Linked DNA regions of Alligator mississippiensis. The protein of the gene in region 1 purifies or fractionates together with the protein of each later gene. This does not show direct contact. Links are inferred from orthologs where the notes say so. Each region holds a gene or a part of one and is shown on either strand. Other genes may lie near its edges.

Region 1 (8,050 bases):
TTGGAGCTACACACGTGTGTATGTGTACACATGTATTTTAAGTGTCATACTTGCTTCCAAACTTAAGCTGGTAGCACAACTTTCAGTATGACATTATGAACACCTCAAAATAAAGAGTTTCTGAAGGGAAACTGAAGACATTACCTAAACTATAGCAGCATAGTTGGTTTTCTGAACATTTTAGCTTTGAATGCGCCACCCATTTCTGTTCAGAATAATGTATGTATGCTATAAAGGAAAAGGGGCATGCTTTTCAGCTAAGTTTAATACGCCCCTACGTTTGCTGGTTGTGCTGTGGGCAACAGAAACAGCTAAGCAAATGTGTTAGCCTCTATATTAAAAAGTACCCTGTTAAACTAATGAGGCTGAAAACATACACTACTTCTGTCCTCAGATGAATCATCTGTGGACAAAAGTAGTATATGTTTTCAACTCAGTCACAAGTTTCTTGCTAAGGCCTTGTCTAAAGTAAGGTTTTAACGTGTGCTATCAGAATGTGTTAGCAAACACGGGCTAACTTTTAAAAACTTTCATCCAGATAGTGAAGGTAGCATGTCCTATATGCCTTGCATAGGATATTAAAATAACAGCTAGAATGCATCAATTAACCTCATATATTAAACCCTATTATAGATAAAGCCCACAGCACTCTAAAAATGGGTACATGCTCAGGCACTACTACATCACTGCCTTCACACCAAAAATGAAATACCAGTTGTAAACTGGAGTTCTTTTGGAGCACACGTAGCAAGCAGAGAAATCTTTTTTTCGCTATTTCAGAAAACTGCTCTTGCTCCTCTTTCCCTACAGCTGTCCACAATGGCAAAGCCAAGATGTTAAGGCCTGAGCCACTGGTTCTAAACCTTTTGAGGGCACCCCTCAGAAAATCCCAACTCCTAGGTTTCACTCTTTTTTTTTTTTTTGTAGCAAGTCTTTGGATGCAAAGAACTCAGAAAGACCACAACAGCTTTACCGTTATGGATTCCTATTTGAAATCTATGGGTTTATCTTGTGAATCATGCCAGCACACAACTAAGCTAACATTGTATCGTACCCTGTGGCACCCTTTAAAGGATCTCAAGGCAACCTAGTCTAGACCTATGCAAACCCTGATTTAGTAACTATAATTCTGCCATACTTCTGACACCTAGAAACAAATACCAAAGCACTTTTATTTAAAAAAAAAAAACATTTAGAAAACTTAAATTAGGGAACCATCTCATTTGGAAGGGTAGAAAAGCAACAGCTCTCATTTAACTTCAAACATGGAACAATTTTTTATTAAAAATAACTGTCAAGACCCATGCACAGATTGCATAAAGCCTTGAACATTTGTTGCTAGAGAAGTATCAAAAAACTGAAATGGAATGAAAACATAAATCTAACACATCACACATGTAAACTTCAAATAAATGAACGCACGCCTTGACTTTAAATACTTCATTTTTATGAGTTGATGACACTAGTCTACAAAGTAATCTATTTATTTATGTGTTTCACTAAATATATCCAGAATAGCAATCGACAAGTAACTATTTGAACGCGAGATGGGTACATGCAGGATTACTTACAAAACTTTACTCCCGAACAGTATAATTATTTCAATTATATCTTTTTTTTTTGGGGGGGGGGGGGGGGGGGGGGGGGGAGTTTTGGCCAAACGTGTCAGGAGGGCTACGCCATTCTCATTTGTGATGAGTTAAACAGCTTTCACTAATGTTTAAGGTTATTAACTATGACCACAAACAAAATGCACCAGTTTTGACATCAGGCATCACCCAGGTGTCCTCCCCAGCACTCATTCTCAGGGAAGCAGGCAAGGCCACTGAGAAGTTGCCACCTTAGCGACAGTGTGTCAAAGTTTGCTCCTCCAAGACCTTGGCATGCTCCCCGCTTGACACTGACTGCCCCCTCTTGCAAAAATATATACAGTACTGGCCATAAATAATAGCACATTATCGCGGGGGGGGGGGAAGCTGCTGTGAAGAAATACACGAAGCTTGCTGATTTGTTGGGGGTGACAATTTTTTATGTTCCTTATCTTAAAAGCATAAAAACATAGCACTCTGATGGCTGGGGAACAGCAGGAGGGCCAAACCTTCAACACCCTTCATCAAACAATCCAGGGGCAACTCGCAAGTTGATAAGAAGCCCAGAGCACCCCCCCCACGGCGGACTGCGGGGCTGGAGGAACCGGGCCGGGCCGGGCCGGGCAGGGCCGGGAGGAGGGCGCGGGGAACAGGTGGGCGATGCTGTGCCCGGCCTCACCAGGGAACCCCGTCCTCACGGGGGCGAACAGCCCATCGGCCTGGAGCCGGGTCCCGCCACCGCAACAGGTGCCGGTGCCGCTGCCCAGGGCCGGGCAGCCCCCTCCTCTTCCGCACGGCTGCAGGCCGTGCCCAAGCTCCCCGCTCTAAGATGGCAGCGGGGCCTCGGCCGGCGGCACTTACCGTGCGCGGGCGGCGGCGCTCGGGGCCGGGGCCAGGGCCTCGTCACTCAGGCGGCGGCGGCGGGAGTGGGTTTGGCGCCGCCTGGGCCCTGCAGCGCCTGCCCGCGGTCCCGCAGCCCGGGCCGGCCGGCCGCGGGGCGGGGCGGCGCGGGGCCCGGCGGGCGGATCCGCGGCGCTGCCCGACCGGGCGGATTTGTCGATGGCTTCACAAAATGGCGCGCGCTCCCAACCTGCGCAGCGGCCGGCGGCAGCAACGGCGGCAACGGCTACGGGGTGTCCCCTTCCCCTCCCCCTCCCGAGCCGGGGCGGTTGGCGGGCGGGGCGGGGCGGAGCCCCGGGAACTCCTCGCTCGCTCCCCCCTCCCCGCACGCGCGCGCCGCGCTCCTCCCCCTCCCCCCACCAAGCCGAGCTGAGCCGGCTGCTCCTCCAGGCCCACGCACTCGCCCGCCTCGAACCTCCCTGCTGACACACACACATACACAGCCAATCCCCCCCGCGCGTGGGATGCGCGCGCCCCGTCACGCACCGAATCCTTTTTTTCCCCCAGTGTTGGAACCGGCGGTTCGGGCGGGAAAGGGGAAGGATTTCAAAAAAAGAAAAAAAAAAAAAAAAAGCCAACTGACAAAATGGCGACGGGACGAGCCTGTTGCTATGGAGACTGTCAATCACACCGCCCAGGGCCCCGCCCCTGACTCGGTCTATGCTAGGAGGGGAGGGCAGACCGCGCTGACGTAGGAAGGGAGGGAATGGGGTGAAGGCGGGGCTTGGTCGCCCTGGTAACTGCTGGTGTTCCCTCGCAGTTCCCCCCCCTTTGGCCCGGCTGTCACGTGGTGGTATAACTTGGCGGGCGCTGGGCGGGTGCTGCAGGCCGCTGGGAGCGGGGGGGGGCAGGGGAGACCCTTTTCACGCCCAGCCTCCAGCGGCGCGGGCTGCACGGGCACTTGCTCGCACCGGCGCTGAAGTGGGCTGGGCTGCAGTGCGCACACACTTATACACTCCCACACTGTCACAAATACGTACTCACACTCATGCACACTGTCACACGCTTTCCCATACAGTCACATGCACAATCACGTTCTCAGTCACGCACATGCACACACTCAACTGTTGTGGCCACACACACATGCCCTCTCATGCTTTCACTGTAACACATGCTTACATGCACACTGGCTGTCACACAGGCTCACATGCTCTCATAGTCATGCACACGCACTCTCACACTGTCACACATGCTCACACACACGGCAGGAGGAGCAAAGGGCTGTGTTCTCCATGCTGGTTATCCACAGCATGGTAGCCCCAGAAGGCCTCTTTGTGTAGGCAGGTCCTTGCCATGCTGGGGATGAGGAGCCTGGACTCGCCTCTGGACACACAGGGCCTTGAGCTGAGAAGGGGATGACCTCGTTTGGGTGGGGTGGAGCAGGGGCTATGGTGCAGGGGAGGGCAGATTTTCTTAAATTGAAGGGATCTTGGAAGATCATCAGGTCCTGCCCCAAGCAGGAAAGGTAACTGGGGGTCAGGTGACCCCAGCAAGGTGACTGTCTAGTGTCCTCTTGAAGATTTCCAGGGTAGGTGATCACACCACCTCTGGAGGGAGCTTATTCCACAATCTGGACACCCTGACTGTGAAGTTTTTCCTAGTGATCCTAAAATTTCCTCACTGGGAAGAGGAGGCATCTAAGCTGGGGAGTTTTCACAGAGTTGTTGGGCCTGGGAGGATGAAGTAGGATGGAGAAACCTTGGCTGGATGAAGGAGATGTCTGAGGTGTAGGAAGAGTGAGAGGAGAAGAAGGTGTTAGTCTGGCGAAAATCAGGTGGCAATGGCCCTTCACTGGGGGAAACCAGAGGAAGCAGCAGAGGTAGGGGAAATGGGCATGGATAGGAGTCATGGGTTGAAAAGGTGAACAACACCAGCAGAGAGTGCGGGAAGATCTATGCAGCAGAAGTGGAGGTTTCTGCTGCTACTGGGGAACCTTGTGTATGCAGGAGTTCTGCCAGCAAGACTTGATAGCATAGATTAGGTCCATGTATAAGACAGGCAGGTAAGAGGTAGATGGAAAGTATCTGCAGGGGGAGAGGTAAAAAGAAGGCCGGGAACATTGACTGGGGTGTGCCAGTGCTCCTGCTGGGATGAACGGTCCCTGGCTAGAGAGTTTTGCCCCTACGCTTAGGGTCAGACCAGTCATCAGATTTGGGGGCAGGAAGGAATTTCACCCTGTGGTAAGATTGTAGGGGTTTTTGTCTCTGTCTGTTGGAGGGAGGGGCCCTCTACCTAGGATCTCTTGAGCATATATTGACATCATCATTCACAGAAGCAGGGCATTGGCTGTCATTGTTCCCCTGCTTTACCTGTGGCAGGTTAGGGTGTTAGGTCTGCTGTATCAGGGTTGATAGCAGTCTTATATAGAGTTTAGATTATGGATTGTATAGGATGGTTTGACATGAGATGATTCCACCTTAGGCAGGGGTTTGGACTAGATGACCCCTGAACATCGCTGCCAGCCCAACTTTTCTATGATTTCTATGATTCTTTTCTATGTCACTGGGAGAAAACAGGTGTCAACATTAGGAACTTACTGAATTTGTTCTGCTTTTTACTGCAGGGTTTCACATTTTCTCATTAGGAAGTGAGGGTACCAAGAAAGAGCAAGAACCCTTTTCTTACCCCTAGAAGGGTTTTGGTGTGGGATATGCTTTCAAGAGTCCCAAGTTTTACACTTGGAGAACCTGATTAAGTTGTGGGGAAGGAAAGAGAAAGGAATGTGCGCATGTATACACTTGTTCATGTCTGTACCTCTACTTCTAGGCATCAGTGGGAATTGGGGGAGGCTCTGTTCCCCCAGGCACTACATGGGGTTACTAGGAATAATGACCACAATTTGTTAGAGAGAAGGTTCAGGCTGGATATCAGGAGACATTACTTTACAGTTAGAGCTGCCAGGATCTGGAATGGGCTCCCAAGTGAGGTGGTACTCTCTCCTACCTTGGGGGTCTTCAAGAGTGGGCTGGACAGATATTTGTCTGGGGTGATATGATCCCTGCACCCATTCCTGCCCAGGGCAGGGGGTCGGACCTGATGATCTGTTTAGGTCCCTTCCAACCCTAAGTACTATGATACTATGATCCACCATTAGTGACCTACTGTAAGAAAAAGGAGAAAAAGCAGAATGGATGAAAGAAAAAATGGAATGGAAGTGAGAGAAATGCAATAAGTTATATTTCTAAATATATCGAATGGAATGGTAATATACATAAATATATGCAGAATATAATAAAATACACAACTATTTTATTCCTTTAAATTGCTGTAGATGTTGCAACACTGCCTTTTTTCTTCACCACACCTGATAAACTTAAGTCTAGTCTGCATGGGGAAATTTGTACCACTTTAACTTAAATCAGGTTTAAAACTGATTAGGTTGCACTGGTACAACTATCTTCATGGACAATTATTTTGTTTGAGTGACATTTGAAATCAATAAGGAACAAAGTCAAAGTACACCAATCTGACAGGAAGGGGGGACAAAAACAACTCAAACCAAAACAAGGTTCACATGCTTGGGTTTGCACCCAGTTAACCAAACTGGTTTCTGTTTACACCTTAGGTTAAGCCAGTATAACTTTCTCATAGACAAGCCCTAGTTCCTATGTGAGTCAGAGTACCAGTTCCCTCAGAAGTCAGATTGGGCACATAACAGTCTTTGGTTTTTGCAAATCTCACGCTGAATATCCTTAGGCTAGTAAATATTGGGAGAATATTCCCTGTCCCATAATGATATATTAAGGCGCTTGTACACATGACGAAAATGTCATTTGTGTGGCTTAATGGTGTCACATATTATATGTGCACCAGTTTTGGGGTTTGCATCATTGTAAAGTAAACTACATCCAGATGTAGTTGCGTTCCAGCTGTCAGCTCCCCTGCCCCCCCCCCCCCCCCACCTGCTGCAGGAGAGGCGAGCAGGCTCCACAGAAAAAAAGAATTGGGTCCCTGGCCACTTCTGCTTTCAGCAGGTGCCTGAAGGAGTCCGATCCTTTTTTTTTCCAGTGGAGTCTGCCCGTGTCTCCCGCAGCTGGGGGAGCAGCTGCCAGCAGGCCAAGCAGTCCCACTTTAACCAAGTAGCAGACATCTTCAAGGTAAAGCATCTAACCCCCAAACCAGAGAACAGAAAGTGGAGGAAGGACAAGGAGAGAAATCCTAGTCTACAGCCTGTTCTCCCCCACAGAAGGACTTGTAACTTCTGTGGACAGATAAATGGCTCAAGGACTGGACTCCTAAGTCATCTCAAGACCCATTAGTGGGCAGTGGTAGAGATCCTCAAATAAAGGGATTGCTAATGACCAGGGGAAATAATATGAAAGAACTGGGGAAGGAGAGAAGCCTGTTTGCTTTAATAAGTGAGAATGCATATAAACTCTGTGGGCTAAGCCAATGGAGTATGTCACATGTGGACTAAGTTTTGGGGGAACCTGCCTCTCTGTGTGTGTGGGTGTGTGTGTGTGAACAGTTTTGCAAGGTTGGGGTGGGGGTAGAGGCTGCATGTACCAACAAGTTTTTAGGGAATTTTCATGGGCTTGGCATTTACCATATTTGAGAGAAAGGTGTTTGTGTGATAGTGAGTGAGAGCCACTGAGTGAATTTGGGGGTTTGAGGCAAAACTGTATACTATTTTGGGAGGGGTGGGAAAGGAGTCTGAGCATTTATGAAGAGGTAAGCAGCACAGAAAGTGAGAAGGAACTGAATGAGAAAAGAATAAAAAGAAATTATGAATAGGGAGCAAAAGAAAGCATGGAAAGGAGTGACATTATGCTGGGAGTTGAGTGAAACCTCATAGAAACAGGTGGATATAATAGGAGGGGAGACAGTGGGGAAAGGAAAAAAAGGTTAACTAAGAAACAATGGCAGGAGAAACATCAGAGGCAAAAAAGATAATGCAGCAAAGAAATACAAACATTCAGATAACAATTTATAACACATCCCTGAGAAAAGGTACTGTTTTCAAGGAAACAGGAAGTTGCATACCTTATTTGTAAATAAGCAGGATTGCATCTAAATCACTGTGGCTCTATCTTCATTTTCTTCTCCTAACAGAAACCACCCCCACAAGATACTGAATATTGTTAATCCCCTGCTGTCAATGATACCTTTCAATGGATTACTATTTTTTTTTAGAAAGCCTAAAATCACAGTATGTACCACCGCTGTAATCTATTTTTTTTCTAACTGGTTTTATATTTATAACATTGATAATATTTGAAATCCAAAAGCATTTCCACATTCGTCATGCATGAAAGCTATGGTAACAGGAGTGAGGTAGCAGGCAAACTAAACAAGGCCACTGAGGCCACTGTCTTGTGGCATCTAATGTTCCTATCAGTTATGTCTTAGGTGTGGTCAGCAAATAAATTCTCCACTGCAGAATGCGCCTCTTCAATCTCCAGTTTCTCAGAATTGAGGCAATACTATCTTTAACCATTCCTTCCCTTTGCCTGTAGTACATATTTCTGCACTGCTTGGTACTAATTTTTGTCGGTGACTGTTTTCCAATGTATTTCAGGACTAATTTTTCTTGGTGTTTGTCATTTTCCTCAGCAGACCAC
Region 2 (7,846 bases), about 120 Mb from region 1:
AGGCAAGGGTGATGACAAAAATTGAGTGAAATCCAGTCCTGTCCAGAGGGTTAGCACAAGGCCTGTGCAAGATTTAAGTCTTCAAAATACAGTTTAAATGGTTTACAGGGTATATGGTAGCCCTCTGAATTTCAGACTATATAAATAATAGGTATGAATCTTAAAATGCTAAAAACAAGCAAGCTAGTAACTTCAGGCTCCTATTAATGAAAAAGTACCACTTCTTATACTGGAATTGTTTATATTGCTTCTGTAATAAATACACTCCCAGATTTGCTGACACACAGATTTTTTTACCTGCTCTTGATAAAAACAAACTCATTGCACCAGACCCAGAACCACTTTCCAACACGGTGTCCCCTGGATGGATGTCCATCATCAGCAGCATTGCATTAATATCCTATGGGTAAAAACAATTAAGTTGAGAAACCAAGGTCTTATACTGTTTCTTCGAACACTGAGTTGTTAGACTACTTCTTTACATCATGTAACATCTTTATGATTACAAAAACCCAGTGATCTAGGCCAGTGGTTCTCAACCTTTTTCCTACTGGGACCATTTTCAAAGATCCATGGCCTGTTCCGACCCACACCGCCCTGGCCCTGCCAGTGCCCAACCCCCAGTCCCTTGTCTCCCCAGGGCCATACTGGTGTCCCCCAGTGCTGCCAGCCCAGCCATGCAGCTCTCCCCTGCCCCTTTCCCCCGCTGGAAGGGGCAGGTGCCTTCCCACCATCCCTCTGCCCTGCTGCAACTTGTGACCCTTTGAAATATTCTTGCAACCCACTTTTGGGTTGTGACCCACAGGTTGAGAAACGGTGATCTAGGCCATAAAGACAGAATTTATTTTTATGTGAATAGTACTCCTCAATCTAATAAAGCAAATGGCAAATTGTGGTGGTGAAAATAAAAATATGTCTCCCCTCTTCCTTCCCTCCCAAACCACTGCGTGCCTTTTGTTTCAGCGTGAAAGAAGCAACCTGAAAGTAAACTCTACTGATGTTTCCCTACATTTAAAATGCTGGAATATTCCAAATTAGCAGTGAGGTTCTATTACAGAGAGGACATGTACTTCTAATATGAAAAGATTTCAAACAAGGACTGCCTGGCATGCCAAAGGAGCCTGCTGGTCATTTGCCTGTTGGTTGCAGCTAAATAATATATTGTTATATCTATAGACAGATAATCAGAAATAAACGCCCAACTGTAAATTTTACTAATTCTCTGTTCACGGAGAGCCCAGTCTACTACCCTGACCATGGAGTGGGCCCCAGTTTCACAAGCTTTTGGTGACATTTCCCCTGCCAGGAGTAAGACTAGTACCCACCTCTAAACTGCCCTTCTGCCCGAAACCACTGGCATCCTATAGGGTGCCAGGCTATTTCAGCACTGGGTGTCCATCAGTTGCAGGCAGTACCATCGACCAAAAATTATGGTAGCAGGTGAATGTGACCTGCCGGTGTTGAAAATGCAGCTCTAAAGCAACTCCAGAGTTTTTTTTTTGAGGGAAACTGTACACTGGCAGTTCTCAGCCTTTTTTTTAAGACTAGAAGCACCCTCCTCAGAACCAAGGCCACACTGCTGTTCAGTCTCCCAACGGCCCTTGGGTAGCACAAATGCCTGAACTGCCAGTCGGTTTTCCTGTGGAGTTGTGCTAGCACCACCAGCTCCCCGGGCTGGAATGCAGGGTGGCCAGCTCTATCTGAATCTATTCCCAGAGGTGTCCACAAACACAGCACTCCCATGACACACAATGTGAACATGCCACGTCCTTGCATGTACCAGTTACGGATTACGGTGAGCGGATTTTACATCAAGAAGACAAACGCTCGTTACTATCACACTTTAAAAATCCACTGCACCACTATATAAATTGGATTCAACATATTCATTTTAGTGAACGCCCTATTATTTCTCTCCTGGGCGACTCTAGGCAGTCTCCCGGAGATTTACATCTCATTCCTGCAGACTCCGGGGCAATCCTGGAGGGTTGGCAACCCTACTGGAAGGGCATCTAGTTAAGCAAAGGCCAATTTTCACTGGGTTTCCTGACGACGATGAAGTAACAGAGCACTGCTCCTCTGGCAAAGAACGCGGGGCAGGATGGTTTGCACACTCTGGTTCCTATTCACGGGGCCAGACACAGTCATGGGTGAACACTGCCTGGGGCCTGGACAGAAACGGGGCCTGAAAATGGAAATCTTTCGATTATCATTATCTTTGGTGAAGGGGGGCCAATACTAAGAGTCAAATACTAAGAGTCTGCCCGGGACCGCCAGGAGTCTAGGGATGGTGCTGCCTATCCAACAGCTCCGAGGTGCTCCCATGCATGGCATGCGCATGCCGACCCATGCTGGCACCCCCAAAAAGACCTCAGGGCCCGGGGTGTGAACGGCCTCCAGCCCTCGGAGGCTCTTTGCAACCTGCTTTTGCGCCCCAGCTGCGCCCAGCCTGGCCCAAGCCCCTCACCTTGGGATAGGAGATGGTGGGTCCCCTCTTCATGAGCAGCACGAACTCGTCCAGCGCCGGGCGGCGCACCAGCAGGGGCACGCCCTGGGACGTGGCCACCATTTGCCCGGGCAGCTTGCCCAGGATGCGGCCGTGCTCCACCACCCCCCAGCAGCTATTCAGCCGGCCCAGCGCCGTCAGCTGGCACATGCGCCTGAACTCCCCGTGCCGCCTCCTGCGCAGCTCCGCCAGCACCAGCTCCCCGGCCTGCAGGGGCCGCTCCCCGCCCGGCGCCCCGGGCCCGCCCGCGCCCGGCACCGGCTCCTGGAGCCGCTGCAGGGAGCACAGGGCCCGGCGCCGCGCCGCCGCGCGGGGAGAGGCCGCGCCGCCCGGGGCCGCAGCAGGGCCCGGCCCGGAGCAGGCGCCCCGCAGCGCCCGCAGGCCCCAGCCCGCCCGCGGCAGCATGGCCCGACCGCGGCGGCCCACGTGGCTGCTCCTCCCGCCTGGCGCCGGGGCCGGCCCGCCTCCTCCGCCGCTCCCTGCCCCGCCAGGCACCCGGCCACGGCCGGCCCCCTCTGCGCGCCCTTTCGGCCGCTCCGTGCGCCGCCTGCACACGCGCGTCTGCCTGCCCAGGCCCTGTGCTCCCCTGCGGCGCGAGTGAAAGAGAGAGAGAGAGAGTGTGTGCGTGTGTGACTCTCTGCTCCCCTTCTACCCCCCTACCCCGCTCCCCATTAGTGTGTGTGTGTGTAGAACCACATCGACACTTGTGCTGTAATGCACTTTAGGTAACCAGCATTAAATCTTGTGCTTCGAGGCTGCTATACAAGTGCGAACAGCCTGCTGGACATCCAATGTATGGGAGTAGACTGCTGGAACACAGAAACTGAGGTGTTCTAGCAGCCTTCCACATCACCTGTACTAGTGTCCCAGCGCATCTCTGCGCTGACAAAGTGACAGCAAGGGCACTTTGAAATAAAACATGTTTGATGAGCATTAGTTCAAAGCACACTGCCACCATTTTTTCAGCGCGGAGATGCTGATACACGTGACACGCGGGCACTTTTAATAAGCGCAGCTTGCTAACTAAAGTGCCTGGCACCACATCCCACAGCACATGTAAAAATGCCCTCCTCTGCGAGGTACTAGAAAAGGTGCCTTAGCCTGTTTAAATGCACATTAGCTAAAGAGCACATTTTTGTGATGCTTTAATGTACATTAAAATAGGCTAATGTGCATTAAAGCACATGTGTAGAAGCACCCCATGTGATTAGCTAGACAGACAGACCTTTAACCCCCAGGTCCTTTTCTGCAAAACTATTGCTTAGCCAGTCAGTCCCCAGACTGTAACAGTACATGGGATTGTTCTGTCTTAAGTGCAGGACCTCATGAGATTTCTTTTGGCCCAGTCCTCCAATTTGTGTAGGTCACTATGAATCCTAGCCCTGTCATCCAGTGTATCTACTTCTCCCTCCATCCTGGTGTCATCTGCAAATTTGCTGAGCGTGCACTCTATGCCGTCTTCTAGGTAGTTGATCAAGATATTGAACAAAACCAGCCCCAGGACCGACCCCTGGGGCACTCCACTTGATACTGGCTGTCAACTAGACATTGAGCCATTGATTACTACCCTCTAAGCCCAACAATCCAGGCAGTTTTCTGTTCACCTTGCAGTGCATTAATCCAACCTGTACTTCCTTAGCTTGCCTGAGAGAATGTTGTAGGAGATGGTATCAAAACCCTTGCTAAAGTCACTAAATAATCCTATAGGTTCTCCTTACATAGCTCAGAAGGAGGGCTGAAAAGGACTCCACAAGTCATCTAGTGCAATGGTTCTCAACCTTTTTTCATAGATTTCATAGATATTTGGGCTGGAGGGGACCCCAGAGGATCATCGAATCTAGCCCCCTGCCCCAGGGGCCGGAAGTCAGCAGGAATCATAGGATCCCAGCAAGATAAGCAACCAAATGTGTCTTGAAATCATTCAACGTGGGTGCTTGAACTGCCTCCAGCGGCAGTCTGTTCCAAACCTTGGGGGCTCGGACAGTAAAGAAGTTCTTCCTTATGTCCAGCCTGAATCAGTCACAGCTGAGTTTGTGACTGTTTGATCTTGTCATCCCTTGGGGCGCTCTAGTGAACAGACATTTCCCCAGATCCTGATGAGCACCCCTGATAAACTTAGAGGTGGCCACCAGATCACCCCTGAGCCTGTGGTTTTCCAGGCTGAAAAGTCCCATGGCTCTCAGCCTGTCGTCATAAGGTCTGTTTCCTGACCTCTGATCATGTGCGTGGCTCTTCTTAGGACTCTCTCAAGCTTCGCCACATCCTTTGAATTGTGGAGCCCAAAACTGGATGCAGTACTCCAGCTGTGGCCTCACCAAGGCCGAGTACAACAGGAGAATGACATCCAGGGATTTGCTTGAGAAGCATTGATGGATGCAAGCCAGTGTTTTGCTTGCTTTACTAGCCACAGCATCGCATTGAAGGCTCATGTTCATATTGTGGTCAGTCATGACTCCCAAGTCCCCTTCATCTGTAGTGCTAACCAGCGTAGCACTGCTGAACCTATAAGCATGCTGCAGGTTTTTCCTCCCAAGGTGGAGAACCTTGCATTTTTCGGTGTTGAACACCATCAGGTTCTCCTCCACCCATTTCCTGAGCCTGTCAAGATCTGCCTGGATCACCCTCCTGTCCTCAGGTGTGGATGCTTTACCCCAGAGTTTGGTGTCATCAACAAACTTGGCCAGTCCGCTTCTGACACCAATGTCCACATCATTGATGAAGTTGTTAAAAATTAAAGGCCCTAGGACAGAGCCTTGAGGGACCCCACTGGTGACCGCGCACCAAGACGATTGCCTTCCGTCAACCACCACCCTCTGGGTCCTGCCGCGGAGCCAATTCCCCAGCCAGCGGATCGTGGTGAGGTCAAGGCCACAGTTAGCCAGTTTTGCCAAGAGGTGATCATGGGATACCAGATTGAAGGCTTTTTTAAAGTCAAGATATACAACATCAATCTCTTCCCCCTTGTCCAGGTGATAGGTCACCTGGTCATAAAAGGAAATGAGATTGGTCTAGCAAGACCTACCCACAACAAACCAGTGCTGGGTATTCCTCAGGATATTGCAGTCAGCTAGTCTGTTAAGGATGGCTTCTTTGATAATCTTGTCCAAGACCTGCCCCAGGATAGAGGTCAGGCTGATGGGCCTGTAGTTTGCTGGATCTACTTTCCTCCTTTTCTTGAAGATAGGCACCACATTGGCCTTCTTTCAGTCTTCGGGCACTACACCAGAGCGCCAGGAGTTCTCAAAGATCCGTGCCAGGGGCTGAGCTATGATGCTTGCCAGCTGCTTGAGTACCCTGGGGTGTAAACCATCAGGGACGGCTCATGGCCGGCTGTATCAGGACCCATTTGTAAACATTGATGGCTAGTCCTGACCCATACTGGGCAGTAGGTTGGGAGCCCATCACTCCCAACCCACTGCCCACTGCCCCCAGGCCTCAGCCCCACAGTGTGTGGGGCAGGGGAGGGTGTGTGGGGCAAGGGGTTTGTGTGTGGTATAAGCAGCCCCTTGGAGACTGGAACTCTGCCAGCCTGCGAGGGAAAAGCCACAGTTTCCCACGTTTTTCTCCTTTAAAGGAGAATCCATTGTTAAAGTTTGTTGCTCAGTTTTGAAAGTTTGTATGTGACCCTTTCATATATTCTTGTGATGTGCTTCTGGGTCACAACCCATGGGTTGAGAAATGCTGGTCTAGTGCAACTCCCCCTGCCTGAGGCAGACTCTTCCCTAATGTTTTAGCAGCGCCTGACATGTCTGCAGTCCTGGTTTGTCCACTTCAGCCACCAGGCAGGAGCTGGCCTCTTCCATTATAGAATCATAGAGGAGTAGGGCTGGAAGGGAGATCCAGTGGGCACAGGAAAGTGGGGAAGTAGGTGGTGAGGGGATCCTTGAGACCGTCCCCACCCCACACTGCTGTAAACTTAGTTAATAAAGGAGAAATAGAACTGAACTTCTCAGCTGGAAACACCTGAAAGCCTTCGATTGTCACGAGCTACAATACATTCTCCATGTCAGTTGGAAGGGTGGAAGAATGAACACCACGGTTCTGGCTTACACAAATACCAACAGCATCAGACCTGGGTGTATAAGGTACCAGCTTCACTGGGTGGGACATGTTATAATGATGCCTGACAACTGGCTCCCGAAATTGCAACTTGCCAATAGTCTAGAAATGGGCAAATGATGAGATTCCAGGACACCTTGAAGGCCAATCTGAAGAAACATGATAGTAACATCCAAACCTGGGAGACTTGAGCGCTGAATTGTCCCCAGTGGCACCATGAAATAGGAAAAGGCATCAAGTATTCAAGCAAACTTGCTTCACTATGGAGGTGGTTAAGCAAGAGAGACAATGGGAAAGATTTGTGACTTGACATCACCAGGACTCACTACTTTTCCCTGAAACAATTTGCTGTGTCTGTAGTTGAACATACAGATCTTGAATTGGCCTCTTCAGTCATTTCCAGACTCATCAGTGACTTTCCTATCTAATGGAAGACCATCATCCTCATATTGAGGGACTGCCACTGCTGAGTTACAAAACATTCAGTGCATCTTAATGTGTGTGTGTGGTTTGTGGACAATCAATTGACAGTTCAGGGACATGCTTGTAAAAATGATGAGATTTTGAGAAAGCCTCAGTCTCTTTGCACTGGAGCAAAATCCTTCCTGGTGTTCAAGGGGGAAGAATGTTTAAAGCCACAGAGACATGCTCTCAGGGTTGTAGGCAACTGTTAAAAGGGAATACAAATGATTCACAAGTCTGTTGTGGAAATTCACTGGATGCTGAATAATGTTTGTAATTAATTATGAACAAAAAGTTTTGAATTAATGCTAAGTGTTATTTGTTAAACACTTTCCTCGTAGTTGCTGCTATTCATAAGACAGATAAATAAAATAAAAATAAAAGGTTCTCAGGAATTAGTATTAAAATGAAACTTTCCAATCTAACTTCTTGCTTAGACAAAGATAATTTACAGTAACCTTTGGGGACTGTGTAACAAATCATAATGTAAATTTATTTTTAAGTTAATTTTATTGGCATTGTTTGACTGGCATGGCCCTTGACAAAACATACTGCTACATTCTGCTACATTCTGCTACAACTAATGCCTTTTGAAAATTACTAAATATAATACAAAAAATGATCATGTCTTGTAAATATGAATTGAATGGCTAGCAATGGTCAAATGCAGTACCATTTCCATTTACTGTACTTGTTGGGAGAGAAAAAAGGGTCTGGAAATGTAAAAGATTGGAGATTAGGGATTGACTAAACTTTTTGAAGAGTTAAAGCTTTTTGCTTATGCTTTAGTACAATTGGAGCAGTTTCTTTCCATCTGTA

Evidence for each region. The genes of interacting proteins can lie anywhere in the genome.
Region 2: the proteins of DYRK1A (region 1) and TRMT61B purify together in Homo sapiens (affinity purification with mass spectrometry, with the first as the bait; 3 studies listed by BioGRID). This does not show direct contact. The link is inferred for Alligator mississippiensis from reciprocal best matches to the Homo sapiens genes DYRK1A and TRMT61B.

Annotation. Positions count from the first base shown.
Region 1 is NC_081824.1:295,213,457-295,221,506, reverse strand, and holds the start of DYRK1A (dual specificity tyrosine-phosphorylation-regulated kinase 1A), read right to left. Parts: upstream 3,060-8,050; 5' UTR 2,976-3,059; intron 2,718-2,975; exon of another isoform or gene 2,451-2,717; intron 1-2,450. UniProt on the Homo sapiens protein: Dual-specificity kinase which possesses both serine/threonine and tyrosine kinase activities. Exhibits a substrate preference for proline at position P+1 and arginine at position P-3.
Region 2 is NC_081824.1:176,251,693-176,259,538, forward strand, and holds the start of TRMT61B (tRNA (adenine(58)-N(1))-methyltransferase, mitochondrial), read right to left. Parts: upstream 3,021-7,846; 5' UTR 2,912-3,020; coding exon 2,468-2,911; intron 401-2,467; coding exon 298-400; intron 1-297.